2 linked regions of the Xenopus tropicalis genome follow. The protein of the gene in region 1 purifies or fractionates together with the protein of each later gene. This does not show direct contact. Links are inferred from orthologs where the notes say so. Each region holds a gene or a part of one and is shown in the gene's direction. Other genes may lie near its edges.

Region 1 (10,525 bases):
AGGTATATTCACTTGCACAGAGCTTTCCTTACCTCACAGGTATAGTCACTTGCACAGAGCTTTCCTTACCTCACAGGTATATTCACTTGCACAGAGCTTTCCTTACCTCACAGGTATATTCACTTGCACAGAGCTTTCCTTACCTCACCGTTATATCCACTTGCACAGAGCTTTCCTTACCTCACCGTTATATCCACTTGCACAGAGCTTCCCAAGTGTCACAAGTTAATTTATATTCACAGAGATTTTCCACAGATAATGCCAGATGTACAAAAGAACAGGGTGCCCTTTCTTGCCAAGAAACCACCCAGCATTACAGAAAAAATGCTACATTAAATCTTTTTAATGCACTTAGTACATTCATACGTTAAATTAAAACATTTGCTTTGCTGTGGACCTCACTGGGACCATAATGTGTGTCATTTGCTCCCTTCAGAGGACACCGATTATCCGGTATGTCTATTGAATGCCTAATGTGTGCTTGTATTGTGACATTTTAGGGTGGAATCCACTCAATTGAGTGACTGTCAGCAAGAGGCAAGATTGGTCCAGGAAGTAACTCAGGGGAAAAGAGTTTTTCTCACTCAGGAGGAAAGTCAGCAGTTTGTGAGAGGGTGAGTATAAATATAATTTAAACAAAAGAGAAGAAAAGGCTCAAAGAGCCAAGCCTGCTTAATTTCTCCAAAATCAACAAATGAACAGGTAACCATTAAACAAGTAGACATACGAAAAGGAATAGATTAAATAAGTATAGATAAGTCAATCTGCAGGATTAATCTGCCTATGATTAAGTGCACTAACGCACGAAACGCGTCAGGCACCTGTTTGTTTTTAATGTGATGAAATAAAGACCAATTTTTAGCAGACCTTGGAAGTCCGGAGTGCTTGATGTCCTACTTCAACTATGAGTATAAATATAAGTGTAGATGCAAAATGTACATGGTCAACCGGGCCTTCTGGTGTCTACTATTTTATATTTTTAATTCTCATATGCAATTTTCATTTTCTCCTCAGCATACATCTGTTTTATTCCAGGGATTTGGAAAACTATTACTAATATATGAGACTATTGAAATGTAAAAGATACCTGAAACATTCTAAGGCTAATGTCCTACGGAGCGAGTTAGTCACCCGCAATAGATCCCTGCTACCACGGGTGACTAACCGCTCTGAAATGCTTTTCCACTGGCAACAATAGGAGTCGCTGGTGGAAAGGCCTACACATCGCTTTGGCTTTTTCAGTCATGCAAAGTTGCCTGCAGGAGGAAACTTCACGCGACTTTGGAATGCCTTAGAGATATGCACTGTATGTACCATTTCTCAGAACAATTCAATAGACCAGGACTGTCCAACTGGAGGCCCTTGGGCCGGATGTGGCCCTCCATTCTGTTTAGAGACTCAATGGACACTATATGACATCATCATTTTAACTTAATCTGGCCCTCTAGCATGCTATATTCAATATAATTGCCCCCTACATGTAATAAGTTGGACAACACTGTAATAGACATGTATGATCATCTGTGTACTCTGAAGAGAAAAAATGATACACTTTTTGGTCCCAGTGAGTGAGCAAAGCCACTCGGAGCTGAGGACAAAGGCCGACAGAATACCCCAATTAATATTATTCTCTCCTACCCCCAGACAGGGTATTGCAATGTCAGGGCCCCCTCTACTTCAGACATTCCTATCTACATATACAAAAGGGAAAATACATAGAAGATGAGCTCAAAACCAGGAATAGTAAAGCATATGTATTAACAATATTTTATACTCTAAAAAATCCTTAGAAGCACAAGCACTAAGCATCCAGCTTCACTTTTGTTTTTGTTTCTAACACTGCTTTGTATTGTATCGGCTTCTGAATAGCTTTAGCAATACTGTAGGCTGTGACATTTTAGTGACTAACACTTGTATAACTTGTACAGGAAACTGGACTCTGCAGTAGTAATAATGGTGGGAAGGCTGAAAAGAATAGTATGCTACACATATGCAGATTCTGATGGACTTGGGGAGCACCCTGACCAGACCAAAAGAGCCATAAAATAAAATGAAAGACTTTATCCCTTGTACAGGTGGTCGTACACGGGCCGATAAAATCTGCCAAAGGTTTAAGTCGGCAACTTATCGGCCCATGTATGGGGCCATCAGACAGGCTAATATCTAGTTTATCAGTCAGATGTAAAAATCCCATTAGGGTGAACAGCACATTGGCATGTTGATGCGGTCCTTGTTCCGACAGCCTGCATCCAATCAATGTGATCCAATTGCTGAACGGTCAGATCAATCTGATATTGCCTGCCACAGGTGGGCATATAGGGTAGTGGATCTTTCCATGTATAGCTAACTCAGATATTCAGTTGGATTTATTTTTTCCTGCTATGGAAAGTGCCATTTTTGGCCTTGTTCGACCTTGCCCGCAATCACTTCATACCTTAAATCCCTATTGGCTTCTTATAATTCCTCTAGAACAAATAGGTGAAGTAATGTGTCTGTGCTTATCGATGCTTGTTGTCTTCTGTTAGGCTTTGTGTCTTACATGATTACAATCTCTGTTCCAGATGTTCCCTGTTGAATTGTGAAGTGGTGTTTGAGATGTTAAACTGCTCACTAATGGATGACAACAACTGCGTCAAATTGGTATGTCTTTGACCACGTGGGCTTCTCACTCACTTCTCCATGTCTTGCTGCAGCCAGTGTTCACTCTAAGCGAAGTTGTAACAAAAGGGGGCGCAACAGCTGTGGAATCCACAATTTGTTCACAAGTAATTCTGTTCTTTCTTGAATCCATCTACTGGAGCTCACCATGTTAAAAACAATGCATGAGGCCTTTTGGCCTCCAATATACTCCCTTCTGGCTACGAGAAGTAATACTGGGATGATGAGATGAGTTTCCCCCTCAACCACCTAAACCTAATCCCAATAGGTCCAACTACAGATCGGAACTCAGCCAAAGTAACTGCACCTGCCCCATATACTACATGCCACAGTGTTTCTGTTAAGGCTCCCCTCATAGACTTTGTTATACTTACCTGTGTTTTCCTTCTTTTTCCTATACTCTTATATAAGTTGTAAAAAAAAACTTGTTCTTATCTGTTTCTTTGACTGCAATTGATACCAATTTGAAACTTGGACATTGTCAGTGACATTTCATGTACCACAGAGAAAGGAGATTAATATGCTGTGATACAGTATATTTCCAATCTTTCCTTTTAAAGGAGAACTAAATACTAAAAATGAATATGGATAGAAATGTCATATTTTATATACTGAACAAGCTTAAAAGGTCCACATCTCTATAGTAGTAATAAACCAGTCCTTTAAAGTTGTCACAGGGGGTCACAATACGGAAATCTCTTAGAAGTGTCTGTGGCACTCACATGCTCAGTGGGCTCTGGGCAGCTGTTGAAAAGCTAAGCTTAGGGATTGTCACAAAATATCAAGAAGAAAATTGGGTTTGTCTGTCATAAAGGTTGGAGTTGCACTGGTTCAGAGCTGCCAAGTACTAATTATCTGTATTATTTCCTGATCAGCTTTATATTGTGACATTTATATTCTATATAAACAGTATATTGTGAGTCACTCCCTAAGCTCAGGTAAGTGCCAGCAGCACAGCGCATGTGCAGTGAATCAGCAGAAAAGAAGATGGGGAGCTACTGGGGCATCTTTGGAGGCACAGATATTCCCTGCTAAAGGGCTGTGGGTGCCTTGGGCTGGTACAGAAGCCCAAAACATAATGTACAACATTTCTACCCTACTTCTTTAGTTAGGCTTTAGTTCTTCTTTTAATATTATGTGGCTTATTACAGTATTTGCCCCCATCCAAGCTTCTGGAGAAGGCTGATTCACTAGCTCTACTAATACAAATGCAGAATGCATGAGTATTACAGATTATATATAGCCAGTTCTTAACAGTGTTTTCTACTTGCAGCGCTCCATGTGTGCAGTATCCTCCCTCATGGCCTCTGACCTCCTCTCACATGAACACATGCTAGCTGTTGTGAGGAAAAACTTGCAAAAATTAAGAGAAGGACCTCCAGGACCAGTGAAGAACAAGGCCACCAAGGTGAGGAGATAGCATGCTGTTGCCTTATTTGGTGACACTGTTGATGATTTCCCTTTTATATAGAAAAAAAAAATAATGGCAAATAATATATCAGTAGGGGACACAGGGTAAATTAGTGCTGGATGTGTTGTGCCAAGACAGATTACCTCTGCTGGCAGTAAAATAGCGACCATTCCATCCAAAGCTATTCTGCAGGTAGATGTATAAATTATGCTTGCATGCTTCATTGGAACAGTTTACCATGAACCTCTCGTCTGACAGTTGCCATCTGTACACTGACCACCTGTCCATAATATTCCTTTAGACATTACAAGATACACTTCATATGTTTAAGTTCATTTAAAGGAGAAGGAAAGTCATTTTGGCATTTTACTACCAATATATTTGCCACCTAGAACACTATATATATTCTGCAAATAGCTTTGCCTTACCTGAGTAAAGAGCCCTAGAAGCTCTCTACGTTTGTTTAAGATTGCAGCTGCCATTTTAGCTTGGTCCTCATAGCTTCCTGCTGTAGCTCTTGCCCTTATAGCTCAGATTACACATTTCTAAGGGTGGGGGGAGTGAGTTTTATGAATTCTTATGGGAGGGGGGAACAGGAGAGGAGAGAGCTACGCAGACTCTGGACCTGGGAATTAAGGATTTTTCTGAGAGAGGAAGTCTGATACAGAAAAACATACATGGCTGTATTTACATAGACCTTTCTGATAAAGATTAATTAGTTTTTACCTTTCCTTCTTCTTTAATACCTGTTTATAATGCAGAGTTCCAATATAACAAAACTTGATTTTTTGGTTAGATTCTGCTTCAGTTTCAAGCACTTACTCAGAATGTTTCTGAAAGAGGATCTTCGCACCATGGGACTGTGGCTTCTCCCAACACACGATGCCCCTTGGATGTACTCACCGATTTTATTCCTCATTCTGTGGGGGGTGGTTTACTGACACCACTAAGTGTACCCTCATCACCTACTTTAAATGTCCAGAACACTGTCTGTTCTCTACCGAATGGGGCTGAAAACCAGAAAGATCACAATGGGAGCTCTGAGAAAAGTGATCCAGTTGAAAAAACAAGGGAGCTAGAATGTGAGGAGACTGGTAATCACAAAAGCACAAGCATACACGTGTCTCTGTTTGAAGGCATGGAACTGGTAGGACCAATACGATGCAGTCACAATGAAGCTACCGGATCACAAGAACTTCCTGTTGAACTTGTAAAAGAAGAACCATCTAAGCCGACCCTGCCCTCTGTGTTTTCATTTCTAAACACTTGATGCAACTTGTGACCTTCACCAGGTGGGCTTGCCCCAAGCACTGACAGAGACTGACTGACAAGCATGAGAGCAAGAGAATACAGAATGTTTTCTGTGTAAATAAATATCTTCATCGGGAGTTGCACAAAGACAAAAATCAAGTCATGTGATCAATTAAAAGACCTGTAATGGCATTTTTTTATATGTAGGCCCTTGGCACAGGACATATTATCCACCAGAAGAAGTGTCTGAATATGGCCGGCAAGTGTCTCTTACTAGAATAGAATTGCATTCATTTAAATGACAGGTTGCAAGCCATTTTTTAGGGGCTTTTTCCCAGTGGAGAATATGCACAATGTGCCATGGGACTTAAAGGAACAGTGACACTAAAAAGTTATAGGTGAAAAAATTCACTCTCCTCCAATAACACTTCTATTCTGGGCAAAGTTAATTATCTTTAATGTTTTATACATAAATAATGCGATAATCCTGTGTTTTTAAAAGGGCTATGTGGCAACATGCACTTCCGTGCGCGCTCCAATCTCCTGCTAGCCGACATTATTTTTGAAACCGGAACGCAGTTGTTCCAGCTTCTAAGAGAATTATCAACCTGCTCTGTTCCACCTTTGCGTCAGTGTGATTTATTTCACTAAAAATTTGGAGCAGTGAAGGAAGGAGGATGAGCGTGCTGACTTGTTGGGGTCTTCTCTGGCTGGCCTGGCTGCTGCCTTTACTATTCGCTGCTCTTGGGTTCACAGCCCACGGGGAGATTAGTTGCCCACAATTAATCTCATTTACCGCAAGCGACTAATCTCCTTAAAAGGCATAAGTTGCGCTTAGTTTTCCAAAGTTGCACGAAGTTGCCTTCAGGAGGAATATCAGGGAATTTAGTTGCCCTTGGTAGCGGAGACTTAACCGCAGGCGACTAATCTCCCCATAGGACATAGGTCTTATGACACTGAGGAAATAATACTAGCCATACACCCTGTCTCCCCAAACTTCAATGTGGCATGAATTCAAATAAGAAGGGAGAACATGGCAGGCTGAAAATCCTCAGTGAACCCGGAGCAGCTAACTTTCTGTTTTATAAAGAAAGTCGGCTAGCATAAGATTGGAGCCCGCAAGTAAGTGCATGTCGCCACATTAACCTTTTTAAAACACGGTACACAGCCGGAAGATGCATTTTATCACATGATTTAAGTATAACTTTAAAGATATTTAACTTTGTCCTGGATGGAAGTGTTAGTGGAGGGGAGTAGAATGGATTTTTGACTTTTAGTGTTACTGTTTCTTTAAAGTTTGCTTATGTACATCCAGTACTTGCAAGTAAACTAGTTTGCAAGAGAAAAGTTTTCATTCTATGGTCCTGTGGTAATCCATGAATGTCATTAGACCCCTGTATATCTCCTATTGTATTCTACATACTGTATCTATTATCTGTTATGTAAATGTGGGCTCTAAAAGCCCAGTTTTGACTTGAAAATCCCAGCAGCATATTTATATAAACTATACTGAAGCCTCTGAAGCAAACACAGTTTGTTCCAGTGCAAGGTAATAGTAAATTGTATTTAATTTGTGTATATGTTATCTTTGATGTTACTGGCCCTTCAGCATGAATGACTGGATTGCTTGGAAATCAGGCCACCTTGTCTGTGATTTGCTATAACACACTAAAGAAATGGGTGAAATAACCAACGCATATCACAAAACATAACTCAGGTTCTGTCAGTAGGTGGAACCCTTTATATTTACATTTGCTAATGCTAAAACAATAACACTGATCTAAAGTATTATCTACTGTACAGCGCTGCATACATAAGTAGCACTTTATAAATAAAGATATACATACATTTGCAACCATTGTCTTTTAAGGGCAATGACACATGGTGCCACTTGTAGCAGCTACAAATGCCAGAAAATACTCTGCCATAGACAATACTGAGAATAGTCTCTGCTAAAACACACGTAGAGACAACTATCAGTATTGTCTATTTTGTAGCTGGCTACAGGTAGCTCCGTGTCAATGCCCTTACAGTTGTATTGCAACCCCCATTTGTTGGATGAGCAGATCTCAAGGGAACTGGGAATCCTAACACTTTTAGGGCTCTGGCACACGTGGAGATTAGTCGCCCGCGAACAGGGAGTTTTGTCGCGGGCAACTAATCTCCCCGTGTGCCAGAGCCCTTAGGTCAGATGTTTACAAATCCTCTAAGTGATGTTTAGGCAGTTGATCCCATGCAAGTGAATCTACTTGTCCACACTACTCTCTGTATGGCCAGCTAAAGAGTTGCTACTGCCAAATTGCCTATTCTTTTGAAATGTTAAGGTGCAATTCTGTTTAGGTTTAAAATGATTCACATCTATGTATTTGTAAATGTTTCAGCAATAATATACTACAAAAGTATTAATAGAAGTAAAAAGTACAAGTGTATAGATATTATTTTTAATAGTAATGAATTTTTACAGTGCTCCCTTTTGGTTTTGGCCTATTATTTCCCACTGAGTTGCTGTAAAATGCCAAGTAACTTACTAGTCAGAATACTTCTCACATGTATTATTAATGGTGGTTGGTGCAAAATAAACGTACTACATTTGAGGGTTTAGCTTATTGCTGTTGAGTAGGAACTGGATTTGGACATTCTTTATGCTCTAAAAGCAACACCAGCCTATATGTCATGCAAATCTGGCCTTTAAGAAAAACTCTCACACTTGTGCCAGTGCAACAGTACCGACCTGCTCTTTGGTTTCTACAAATCTATATTATAAAGTTTGTCTTTATCATTTTAAAGGAACAGTAACGCATAAAAGCAATTATTTTAAACTGATATACCCAGTACATATCTGGCCTAAGGCACCCAAGCTGTGTGACAGCTGCTCTGCAGAGTTCCAGAGCGATCCCCACCCAGTATCTTTTCTAGCATTTCCATTAGTTTAAATGAGAAGCAAGTGCTGGCAGGCAATCAGAGTTCTGCCTGAGAACACTATAATCATAGTTTGTGTACTATATCCATATACAGACGGAAAGAATCCCTTGTTTTATAGTAGGGTATGTATTCCCTATAATATGATCCTGCTGTATATTTACACAAATGATACAAAAATTGAAATAAATAAATATATATAGTATTAACCCTAAGCCACTCCAACCGTATCCACAGTTAATTATATCAAGTACAGTGAAACCTCAATTTACATCCCCTGATTTTAAGTTTTCCTGCATTTTACACTATTGTTTTGTGGTCCTACTAATATATAACACACAATAAACTTCCCTGGTTTTATATTTTCACGGATTTTGCACCATTTTTTTTCTGGTCTCCTGAAAAAACTTGGGGGTTCTACTGTATGTCACAGCATATATTTGTCTTTCTGACTAACAACTGATCTTGTCAGCATTGCATGGAGGCTTTCTCCGGATAATAGTCAAAAGTTATTGGCCTGTGAATGACTTACTGGTGAACGTTTCTGGATGAAAAGCTCTCACTCCTGCAATTTTACCATCTTCCCATTCAAGTCAGTGGAAGCCCTATGAAAAGTGCTGAATGTGCTTTTTTTGCTTAATGAAATCTCACATTCACAAAAAAATGACTTTGTTTTTTTTTAATACTAATTATAATACATATTATAATTATTATTGTTTAAAACAAATTGAATTCATTTTCTCTGCTTTCACATTTCCAAGTGTCAGTTTGGGAAGGCAAGTAGCTGACTTTCTAAGCTTTAATAAGTAGCCATCAGGATGTAACACTGTGGGGCAAAATCAGAAGGTCACAGGAATTAATTGTGCATAATCGAAACCACTGCAATGATTCTCTGTAGCCGACCTTAGGAAATTCATGGGCTACACACATTAAACTTGTGTTAAATTACAAAGACATGATCTAGATAATGTTTGTGAATCACAGCTTTACATGCATTTTCAAGCCATTTGAGAACTCTGAAAGCATTGTGATTTTCAGTTTTTATAAGTTTGTTGTTAAAAATCTAAAAAAACGGTGCTGCGCAACTTGCGGCCCGCAGCCCTCTCCTGTGTTCCCCCCCCACCTGCCTGGCTGCTGTGATTGCTTAACTTTGTGTAAACTGAGATTAACTGCTCCCCCCCTGCATTGTTTACACCTCAGTTTAAGGCTTTAAACCCCTGTATTGTTAACACCTTTAAGCCCCTGCATTGTTCACCCATCCCCCTGCATTGTTCACACCTCAGGCTCAGACTGTAAGTGCCCACATTGTTTACCTGTTAACACCTACAGACTGTAGGGGCAGTGCCAGCATTGTGTCAGTGTTTGTACTGCCTGCCCTATACTGCCTGTGTGTGCTGTACTCTAACTGCCCTATGCTGCCTGTGTGTGCCATACTCTGCCTGCCCTATGCTGCCTGTGTGTGCCATACTCTGCCTGCCCTATGCTGCCAGTGCGTTCTGTACTCTGCCTGCCCTATGCTGCCAGTGTGTTCTGTACTCTGCCTGCCCTATGCTGTGTGTGCCGTACTCTGCCTCCCCTGTGCTGCGTGTGTGCCATACTCTGCCTGCCCTATGCTGCCTGTGTGTGCTGTAATCTGCCTCCCCTGTGCTGTGTGTGTGCCATACTCTGTCAGCCCTATGCTGCCTGTGTGTGCCATACTCTGTCGGCCCTATGCTGCGTGTGTGCCATACTCTGCCGGCCCTATGCTGCATGTGTGCCATACTCTGCCTGCCCTATGCTGCCTGTGGAAGGTGAAACTAGGAGGGTTTTTTTCTGGGAGTTTGTTAGCATTTGGAAATAGTCATTATATGGTCCCTAAGGTGTGTAATTATGTTGCTGTGCTATTCACAGGGGAGGCATATGGATTTAAGAGTGTGTCTTAATATGACATAATAAACTTCTTTGACATATGAATGAAGGGTGATATCCCTACAGTGAGCTCCAACCATTTGGGTTTTGCTGCGCTACTACCATTAATATAGGCATGGTCTTAAAACTCCAGCCCTCAGTACCATAGAAGTTGGACAACACTGCCCATAAATAAAGCAACTGTTTAATATTGTCTTCATTTTTTATTTTACATTTATTGTGTATTATTAGCTTTCTAGTCTAGCTTTTTTCAACGGCAAAAGAGATGTCACTGGCGTGTGTGACTACACTTTCATCTGCAGCGCTGCACAGATACCCCCCAACTCTGCCTCTGGATTTTGTACAAGACTTTTTTCATGAAAGACTTTATTTTCCCAA
Region 2 (11,039 bases), on another chromosome or scaffold:
TGATCTATCCTTCAGAGACAGCAGACTGGCACAAAACTGGATCATTACAGTAGAAATACAGTATTTATATAGACAACATCCTAGGCTGGAATGGTACAAAACAAATCTAAAAACACCAATCACAGATAACTTTTAAATAGCAAATCAGAGAAAATAGTATATCTCTAATGGAACTATGTTGTTTATTGTATGTTTTTTATTTAGAATATGTAGCAAAAATACTATTTTCAAAAAATACACTTTAGCCAATAGTTTATACAAAGCAGGGAACATTATACTTAAAGTTCTTTCCCATGGGTTGTCTAGCCTTTAAATAAAATCCAGATCCTCTTAACCAGCTACGGTCAGGTGCAATAAAAGGGACAATCAACGGGCAATGGTAACCTTGAAAGCAAGTAAGTTGCAGGTAAAATGCAGTCCCTTTGTGAATTGTATATTGAAGCAGTAGAAATGAACTAGAAAGGGAAGTTTGAGAACAAACTTCATGTTGGGTTGAAAAACATAAAGTCACTAAATGGGCTCTGCCCACTTTCTCTAACCTTGGACCACAGTTATACAGTAAAAACCACTGTGCAAAGTTTGGGGACCCTGGTTGTAATAGTGTCTAAATGGCAGCAACTTAAATTTACCCACTGAAAGTCAACAACATCTGGAACTGCAGTTACCCAGTGACTAACTCTGCGACGTTTAGGGACCCTAGGATTAATAGTTAAAGAACGGCAGCAATTAAAATTTAAACCAATAAAAGTCAATAGGTGAATTGTGATTGGTGGCTCCGCCCACTTTTTCTAACCTTGAGTCGAAGTCACCCAGTGACAAACAGTGGGCACCCTGGCATAAATAGTTTGAGAATGACAGCATTTTAAATTTAAACCAATAAAATTCAATTGATGAAATCTGATTGGCTGTTAGTGGCCCAACCTACTTTTCCTATTTTTGAACTGCAGTCCCCCAGTGACCAACTTTGCAAATTTTGGGGACTCAGGCATTCATTGTGAGGCTAAGAGCATTTTACACTTCACCATTGAAGTAAATAGGTGAAATGTTATTGGCTGTTGGTGGCTTTGCCCACTTTTTTCTAACTTTGAATGGCAAATACCCAGTGATTAACGCTGGAAACTTTAACAACCCTGGAATTAATATTTAAATAATGGCATCAGTTTAAATATAAACCAATGAAATCTAATGGGTGGAAATGGATTGGCTGTTGGTGGCTCCTCCCACTTGCTTGGGAACCCTGACATAAATAGTGTGAGCAAAGCAACATTTTAAATATAAACCAAAAAAATTCAATAGGTGAAGTCTGATTGGCTGTTGGTGGCCCCACCCACTTTTTAAAACCTAAAAATGGAGTTCCCTAGTGACCCTGGTGTTAATACTGTGAGAATGGCAGCAGGTTGAATTTCCCATTGAAAATCAATAGGTAAAATCTGATTGGCTGTTGTTGGCTCCACCCACTTTTTCTAACTCTGAACTGCAGTTACCGGGTGACTAGCTCGGCAAAGTTTGGAGACCTTAGTATTAATATTTAAAGAATGGCCACAGTTTAAATTTAAACATATTAAGTCTATAGGTGAAATCTAATTGGTTGTTGTTGGCCCCACCCACTTTTCTAAACTTGGAACATAGTCACCTAGTGACAAACTGTGCAAAGTTTGGGGACCCTGACATTAAACATGTGAGAAGGGCAGCAGTTAAAATTTTCCCACTGAAAACAATGAAAGAAATGTGATTGGCTTATGGCGGCCCCACTTTTTCTAACCTTGAGTACAAAGTCACGCAGTGACTGACTGTGCAAAGTTTGCGAAATCTGGCATCAAACCAATAAAATTCAATAGGTGAAATCTGACTGGCTGTTGGTGGCCCTGCCCACTTTTTCAAAACTAAAACTGTAGTCCCCTAGTGACCAACTGTGAAAAGTTGAAAAGTTTGGGGACCCTGGTGTTAGTACTGTGAGAATGGCAGCAGGTTGAATTTCCCCATTGAAAGTCAATAGGTAAACTCTGATTGGCTGTTGGTGGCTCCGCCCACTTTTCAAAACTAGAATTGCAGTCCCCTAGTGACCAACTGTGAAAAGTTTGGGGACCCTGGTGTTAATACTGTCAGAATGGCAGCAGATTGAATTTCCCCATTAAAAGTCAATAGGTAAACTCTGATTGGCTGTTGGTGGCTCCGCCCACTTTTTCTTACCTTGAACCACAGTTACCTGGTGCCTAACTCTGCAAAGTTTGGGGACCCCGGTGTTATTACTGTGAGAATGGCAGCAGGTTTGATTTCTGCCAAGTCAATAGGTAAAATCTGATTGGCTGTTCACATCTCCACCCACTTTTGGGCATCCAACAATCATCATATTTTCATTCAGGCTGAGCCCATGACGGTGTGATTCAAGTTTGGGGAGTGTAGCCTCAAAGCTGTAAGTTTGGCAGCAGTTTCAATTTCCCCATAAAAGTCAATGGGTACAATATGATTGGCTGCTGTTGGCCCCTCCCACTTTGCTGTTCTGTTTTTTTAGAAACCTGAATGCGTAGTCACCCAGTGCCTGACTGTGCAAAGTTTGGAAAATCTGGCATCAAACCAATAAAAATCAATAGGTGAAATTTGATTGGCTGTTGGTGGCTCCGCCCACTTTTCAAAATTTAAACTGCAGTCCCCTAGTGACCAAGTGTAAAAAGTTTGGGGATCCCAACGTTATTACTGTGAGAATGGCAGCAGGTTGAATTTACACCAAATCAATAGGTAAAATCTGATTGGTGGTTCACAGCTCCGCCCGCTTTTGGGCATCCAATAATCATCCTATTTTCATTCAGGCTGACCCCCTGACTATGTGATTCAAGTTTGGGGAGTGAAGCCTCAAAGCTGTAAGTGTGGCAGCAGTTTCAATTTCCCTATTAAAGTCAATGATTAAAATTTGATTGGCTGTTGTTGGCCCCTCCCACTTTGGGGTCATCCAACAAATGTTGCTGCTTCATTCGGGGTGATCCCATAATTATGTTATTCAAGTTTTGGGGGTGTAGCTTCAAAGCTGTAAGTGTGGCAGCAGTTTGAAAATCTTCCCTGTCAAAGTCAATGGGAAAATTGGGGGGTTCGGAGCGGCGCCACAAAAAGACGGGGGGCACAACCGCTTAGAAAAGCACAAGCAACCTGCTCCGCTATAGGGCGAAGAAGTGTGGGGAGTTTGGGTGTTGTACCCCTAAAACTGTAGGAGGAGTAGCGTTTAGAAAATGGGGGGCGCTAAGAATAAGAAGAAGAAGCGGGAGAATAAGCTAAAGTCGAAGAACAGTATGTTGGGGTTTTCAACCCAACATAATTAAATAAAAATAAGTGTAGTTGGCTTGAAGTATATTGCAATATATGGACAAATAATCTCTGTTTTGCTTAAAGGGGAGGGTATCTCTTGGTAGCTTAAGGCACAGAATGTCTTAATGTCCAAAAATAAAAAATGATTGGTGAACTTTGTATAAAATACTTACGAAAAAAGCTTTAGCTCCTAGTTGTTGCTCTGTGCTGCAACCAAATACAACTGCAAAAATCCAAAAAGTAGGAAAAAAACTTCAGCAGATTTACTGCAAACCATTTATTGTGGGTAGTGGTAACACGACACGTTTCGGGTCAATACCCTTTATCAAGTGTACAATAAATGGTTTGCAGTAAATCTGCTGAAGCTTTTTTCCTACTTTTTGGATTTTTGCAATGTCTTAATGCCCTATATATATGTATAATGGGTGAATGCAGAGGACCTCTTGTTGTGGTCTAGATGTATTTTGTGGTCACAGCCTTATTGTACCCCCACCTAATAGTTTTAAATGTAGTAGTTGAGCATAACTTACCCTTTATGAAGATTTTCATTCCTACAGATCATGATATACAGTATGTAAAGATACTCTAGATCAGGGGTGGGCAAACTACGGCCCGCGGGCCACATCCGGCCCGTTAGCCCTTTCAATCCGGCCCGCCGTCTCCGGCCCCCTTAAAAGAATGACGGGCCCTGATTGGTTGTGCCCAATCGTGCATGCCGTAATTTGTGATCTTTCAGGTGGAAAACACCTTGTGCATGCCGTAATTTGTGTATATACGATTCTTTTGTTATTCTAGTATCTTTCAGGTGGAAAACACCTTGTGCATGCCGTAATTTGTGTATATACGATAAAGATTCAGCACACTTCTTTTTCTCTTGTTTTGTTTTCTCTAACATATGTATATATGTGCACTCATTTGGAGTGGTTGAACTTGATTGACTTTTGTATTATTTTTTCAGCCCAATTTAATAATGTAAGTAATGCTACGTATGTAATGTATGTTTCAGAGGTGCAGCAGCTGCTAAAGAGAGGCAGAGAATAAGCAGTTGCTGAATTGTTACGTTAATGGATCTTAGGGCTGTGGCACACGGGGAGATTAGTCACAGCGCCAGGGTCCCCCCGCTAAACCCCCTCGCAGGGCCCCCCAACCAACGTCCTCCCACGTGCATGTAAATTTAACGCGTCAGGGGAGCAACAGTCGGGCAGGGGGAGCGCCGGCAAGGGCCGGGTCTGAGCTGCCGGTATTTTTCCCGGTGTCCCAGTCCGACCCTGCACTGCGCAACAAATCTCCCTTGTCGTGGGCGACTAATCTCCCCAAAATGCCATCCCACTGGCTAAAATGTAAATCGCTGGTGGGATGGCATATGCGGCGCCGCGGTCGCCAAATCGCCGCACCACCTATGCCATCCCAACAGCGATTTACGTTTTAGCCGGTGGGATGGTATTTTGGGAGATTAGTCGCCCGCGACAAGGGAGATTTGTGGCGCAGCGACTAATCTCCCCGTGTGCCACAGCCCTAAACTTCATTAACGTAACAGTTCAGCAACTGCTGATTCTCTGCCTCTCTTTGCCAGCTGCTGCACCTCTGAAACATACATACATTAGGGAACTTTCTGCTTGAGGAGGAAACCCCAGGGGGTGCAAATACCCCCCACCTATGTGTATCTCCACTAAAAGGTAAAAGACCATTAGAAGTCACACCAGACTGCTGTACACGTTATTTAAGGCTCTTGGGCACTGTAAAAAAAAGTCCTTGGGATTTCAACCTCCAACTGGACTGACCTTTTCTAAACATATACAAAACTACTACAGTAGCCTCTTAGCTACAAGACGGATAGTTATATTGCGCCTATGGGTACAGAGCACGTTTATCCTTGTAGACTTCTAATAGACTTTTACATTATCTTGTGTATATACTGCCTTTTAATTACTGATACTTTCTCCGCAGCTTCCCTAATTACTTCCATGCTCTAGGTCTGCACGACTCAGCACCAATAGAAACCCAGCAGAGTGGGAGGAGTCTGGCTGCTACTGAAAGCTTCTGCAGCTCCGGTGTGTGAGTACCTAGCTGTGCGTTGGGCCCTGCTCTTATGGGCAGGAGCGTGAGGAGAACACAAGCATGTCCGCCTCAGTAGTGAGAGCGACTATCAGGGCTGTAAGCAAGAGGAAGCTGCAGCCCACAAGAGCTGCCCTCACTCTGGTGAGTGACCGTTGTACGGTTCCAGTAAAGGCCGCTACTGCGTATAACTTAAGAGACTGTGGCGGAGGGTATTGGGCTGATAAAGGAAGGACGCACAGAACAGTACTAATGCGTGTGGGAATGCGTGTATGCTGTTTGAAAGAGAAACATGGTTTATGTGCGATGAGGCAGCGCTGATACAAACAGTAAGGCAATTGCTTATGTGCAAGGACGACAACTGTACGGGGACAAAAGCAAGGGCATTGAAAACAAGTTTGTTGATTGTCGCTTTAAACTACAATACCCGATAGACTTTGCGCGCTGCGTCACTCTTGGAGGCGGAAGTGATGTAAAACGTGCAATAAGTATTTTTTTGAGAGCCTATAAGCTCTGTGAGAGTTTAAAAAATAAAAAGATTGTGTAGCCTTTGGTACCAGATAGCCAACTCCTCATTTTTTATTGTATGCATATATTTATTTGTTTTAGCTGTTTGCTGGCTAGTGGTGACATGGCACAATGCTTGCAAAACTGCAGTTTTTGTTTATGTTGAGCATAGAGGGGGAGTTTGAACATGACATGCTTCTTTAATAGTGACAAAGACACTTTGTGTATGCATATTGGTATTTAATACAGAATAAATACAACAGAAATGTGGTAAAAACAAAGTTGCACAAATGCATTTTTCTCCTGCGATCTTAAAAGTGAAGAAATATGCTCAATTTATACAGATTTTAGTAGGTGACAGTCTATGTTGTTAACAGACAAAAAAACCTTATTTTTCAACTTAAAAAAATAAATAGTTCACAAAAAAAGATGATTAAACTAATCATGCTTTCTCGGTTACTAACATATTTATAGGAAAACTTGATCAAAATGGCTTCTAAGTTGATTGTACAGCTCAGTTTGACTTATATAGACTACCTTATACCACAGACTGAATGGAAACCATGATAGTCCAGGCCAGAACTCCCCTCCCCCAATAATTTCATAGACTGATACAAACTTTTTCACCTTGTCCAGGAGCTGCCTGGAAGGATGTCAAGAGAGTTGGGAGAGATCTGCAGCCTGAGCCCTATAAATCTATGATAATGATATTTATCCAAAATCCACCTATAATATTAACATTGTTGTATGCTATATATGCTCCTAAATGTGTTGAGAAATTCCATGTTTAATGTAAAATGTGTTATTGTTACTTTAAAGGAGACATATTGGACACATGGGAAAAACACTCATTTTGTTGGCAATTATGAATAATATATGGTGCTAGTTTCACTTTGTGCTAAAAATTAATCTTAACTGTAAAAATGGCCTTTCTATTAGAGCTCCCTATAGATCCTATCAGTTCTATGTCCGTGTTTGAAATGAAAGGTGGGCATGTCCTAATGGTCCCAGCCAGAAGCATAATAGGAATCAATCACAGCCCTGCAGTCACACAAGCAAAGACAGGCTTCAGTTCCCTATCAGGTCAGCCTAGCTGCTGATTGGATCCTATCCTACAGTGCAGTCTACTCAGAGCTGCTGGCTCCCCTGCACATCCAGAGAATTTAGCCAGCAGGACGTGGCACAGGTGGGGGGACTACTGGGGTTTAGTGGAATTTCTCAATAAATAAGTCTGAAACACAACGATTTTTAAGCACAATCCTTCTATATCTAGAGTAGTATAATTCACTGGTACATTCATAATTTTTATATTTTATGTCTCCTTTAAAGGGATTCTGTCATGATTTTTATGGTATACTTTTTTATTTCTATATTATACTGTTTACATAGCAAATAATTTCACTGCCATTTAAAATTTTATTCTTGAACCAACAAATGCATTTTTAGTTGTGATATTGGTGTGTAGGCGTCATCTCAGTGCATTGTTCCTCAGTCTGAGCTTTCAGAAAGAGCCAGTACTACACATTAGAACTGCTTTCAGGTAACCTATTGTTTTTTTTCCTACTCCCATGTAACTGGAGGAGTCCTAAGCTGGACTTGGATTTCTTACCTTTCTTCACCCTAAGAAATGTAGAGTATAACTAGCTCCATGTGAAATTTCAAAATTAAATATAATATAAAAAGATCTGTTTGCATTTTTAACAAACAGATTTCAATGCAGGGTTTTTCTGGAGAAGCTCTATTAACTGACGTGTTTTGAAGACAACTTGCTTGCAACAAGCTTTTGTTTAAATGCATTTTTTCCGTTTATTTTTAGACCCCAGCTGCTGTCAATAAGGTTAAAAAGTTACTTCAAGATAAACCTGACAATGTAAGTATAGTGGCTTACTTTACCAATGTCTGTCATATCTGTTGTTGGAGTGTTTGTGCCCTTTTGTCACATTTTAGATCACAGTCTTTTACAAAAGAAATGCTGGAGGCTGAGGGCACACAGTGTTTTCTCCGCTGCTCTGAGCCTGGGTTTTTTTGCAGGCTGAGAGAAGCAGATCCATTTTCTTGTTGACCAGTACAGCTTTTGCCTCTGCTCGGCTACACAAAATATTGGAAAAGGCAGATGTTTGAAAGTGTTTTGCATCTTTGCTTGTGGCTTAGCAGTGACATTAAAGGACAAGGAAATCCACAAGTCAGGGTAGCGCTTCTTTTCAAGTAAAACCTGCAGTGGCCAGTGCCACTCTGTCATCTCACCAGGCTTTCTCAGTAACTTTAGCCTTATCCCTTTAGTGAAATTGGATTTTCTAGATCTTTAATGCCTTTAGCTGGCAGAAAAAAACAACAAAAGAAAGATGCATGTTAGAAGATAAACAAATTGTTACAAAGGTTTTTAGAACAGCTTATCACATTTTAATTTTTAATCTTGTCATCCCACTATATCCCTTTTCCAAGCCATTGTGTCTTATTAAAGGCCATGTGGGCTGTATGCACGGGGAAAAACCCTGATCTGCTGACTTCTGCCTCACAAAGCACGTATAGGCATGGCATTGGCCAGTATACATTGTGTATACAAAGTATACATTGCGAAAAAGAAAATTTTATATAATATAGGCTTCATCATACTAAAATAAGACATTTTCTAAATATAATCAGTTACAAATTCTTACCTGTTTCTGAAATAATAACATTGCTGTTTACTCTTTCCTTATCAGCATCTCTCTTTCTAAATTCTCTACTCAAGCAGGAGCTAGGAGTCTGATTTTGAATAACAGTTAGGTCTAATATAGCCTTTGGGGGTATTCCTTTTGCCTAGAACAGGGCTGTCCAACTGGTGCCCCCCCCCCCCCCCCCCCCCCACCTGTCTGGCTGCTGTGACTACTTACCTTTGTGTAAGCTTTAAATTGTATCAGTACTGAGATTAACTGGCCCCCTGTTCACACCTCAGATTCAGGCTGTAAACCCATGTATTGTTTAAACACGTAATCCCCTGTCCTTTTACACCTTTTAATCCCTGCATTTTTCACCCCCTGCTTTGTTCACGCCTAAAAACTGGCTTCCATTATCGGTCCTGCACCGTGTAGACCAGAAAAGTTCTGGCCCTCGTTACCACAGAAGTTGGACAGCACTGGCCTAGAAGATGTGTTGGCTCACTCATTTAAAATAACCAGAAATCCTGTCTACAGGCAGGATCTGTGCCAAAGTTGGTTATTTTGTTTTTGTTGGAATCAGTTATTTGTGTGAGCTCTAATACATCTGCTAGGCCTAGCCCTCCTAAAAGATACATTGGATCTGTCAATCAAAATCTAACACCCAACTTGTGCATGGAGAGGCAATGATGAGAAACAGATTGAGAGAGGCCTAGTTAAAATAAACTTAATTCAGACACCGTACAGAATTTTTAACTGATTATATTTAGAAAGTTTCTTATTTCAGTAAGATGAAGCTTATATTAAATTTTCATTTTTGTGATTGTCACCCTTTAAATAATATGCTCCACAAACATTATATCCATAGGTGTGCAAGATGAATGGTACACTGCTGCACATGATCTTGGCTCTGTAAGGAACTGAAACATTATTGTAGTGGAGTATTGGCTTAGTAACTAAATATATTGTACAGGAGCAATTAAACCAAAATGCAAAGGCTAGCTTTGTTTATAAGTACGAGGAGAATGCCATATCGCAAAAATAACCATTTCAATTAATGTAAAAAAAAAATAGCCCTCCACTAGTGATTTCTTAAAAGGTAATGGATAAATCTGTTCCTCAGTTCTTCTCATACCCTAAATTATGTTAAGAGATTTCATTACATGGCAGCAAATATGAAACTACTGTAAATGGCCAGTTCTGCTTTTTACCACTTCCTTAATGATTTGTAAATACCTTTACCTAGTAAACTGAAATTAGGCATGCTGATCTTTCTACTGTATTTATTTTCTATCTCTTTTCTGTCTTGAAATATTTTACTTTTTTTGCAGTCCCTTTTCAGGGATTGTTTTATTGTTTATTGTTATATCCTTAAGTACCCTGTGAACGTGTTCTCAAATGTAAACAAAAAAAGATAAAAAGTTTCATATGATTGGAATTCTTTATTGCAGTACAGGTATGGGATCCCTTATCCGGAAACCCATTATCCAGAAAGCTCCGAATTACGGAATGCCCGTGTCCCATAGACTCCATTTTAATCAAATAATTCAGAATTTTGGATTTCCTTTTCCTCTGTTGCAATAAAACAGTACCTTGTAATTGATCCCAACTAAGATATAAATAATCCTTATTGGATGCAAAACAATCCCATGTGGTTGAATTAAGGTTTTCTTGATTCTTTAGTAGACTTAAGGTATGGAGATCCAAATTACAGAAAGACCCCTTATCCGGAATACCCTTGGTCCCGAGCATTCTGGATAATGGGTCTGATACCTGTATATAAAAATAAGGTAATATATAATATCAGTTTTTTTTTTTAGTACACCCAAGCAGATAGCTGTCTTCATCCCCATTATATATAATCTATAATGTGTCTGACACACTTAGACAATGAATTATATTCTTTTAAGCATAATTTGATATTTACTTGCTCCTTCTGTTGCAGTGCTGAAAATGCATATTTTACTTAATGTAATTAAATATATGAGCAGATTAGGGCTTAGAGCTGCACAGGTAACAGAAAAAAATAAATAAAAAGAATATAGTGCAGTGTATTAAATCAAACTATCAATTAAAAAAAAAAGTATTAAAGTGCAGAGAGGGGAAATTGAGAAATGTGCCACTTGTATAGGTTTATGTGCAAAATGTAAAGCATGGCTTGTAAGTAACCTGGGCAGCTGTAAGAAGTGGTAAAGGTCTTTGGTAGAAATATTGGATCATTGCATAGAAATATTGGATCATTGCATGCCTTCCAGCTGTTTTTGTATGCAGTTGAAAGGAACATAGATGTTTATTATAAACATAGCCACTATTGTGCACTTTGAAGATTTTATCCCTGTATATGTAGCATTATTGAAGATTTGTCTCCTGTATTTACAAATTGAACCATTTTATAGATTCTAATTGCTGATTATTTGGTATTTTTATAAATGTATTTCATACTTGTAAGCAACTGAATGTTTTGCAGGTGCACTTTGATTTGATATTTTGAAATAGTCTTTTCCAATTAAGAATCTATATGAACTGGTCCATACTGTTTGGTTA

The links. The genes of interacting proteins can lie anywhere in the genome.
Region 2: the proteins of tepsin (region 1) and isca1 purify together in Homo sapiens (co-immunoprecipitation; 3 studies listed by BioGRID and IntAct, with this or other methods). This does not show direct contact. The link is inferred for Xenopus tropicalis from reciprocal best matches to the Homo sapiens genes TEPSIN and ISCA1.

Annotation. Positions count from the first base shown.
Region 1 is NC_030686.2:28,226,299-28,236,823, reverse strand, and holds the end of tepsin (AP-4 complex accessory subunit tepsin), read left to right. Parts: intron 1-500; coding exon 501-614; intron 615-2,561; coding exon 2,562-2,640; intron 2,641-3,931; coding exon 3,932-4,066; intron 4,067-4,865; coding exon 4,866-5,339; 3' UTR 5,340-7,164; downstream 7,165-10,525. UniProt on the Homo sapiens protein: Associates with the adapter-like complex 4 (AP-4) and may therefore play a role in vesicular trafficking of proteins at the trans-Golgi network.
Region 2 is NC_030677.2:134,911,917-134,922,955, forward strand, and holds the start of isca1 (iron-sulfur cluster assembly 1 homolog, mitochondrial), read left to right. Parts: upstream 1-5,261; 5' UTR 5,262-5,415; coding exon 5,416-5,496; intron 5,497-5,582; exon of another isoform or gene 5,583-5,624; coding exon of another isoform or gene 5,625-5,681; intron 5,682-7,675; coding exon 7,676-7,729; intron 7,730-11,039. UniProt on the Homo sapiens protein: Involved in the maturation of mitochondrial 4Fe-4S proteins functioning late in the iron-sulfur cluster assembly pathway. Probably involved in the binding of an intermediate of Fe/S cluster assembly.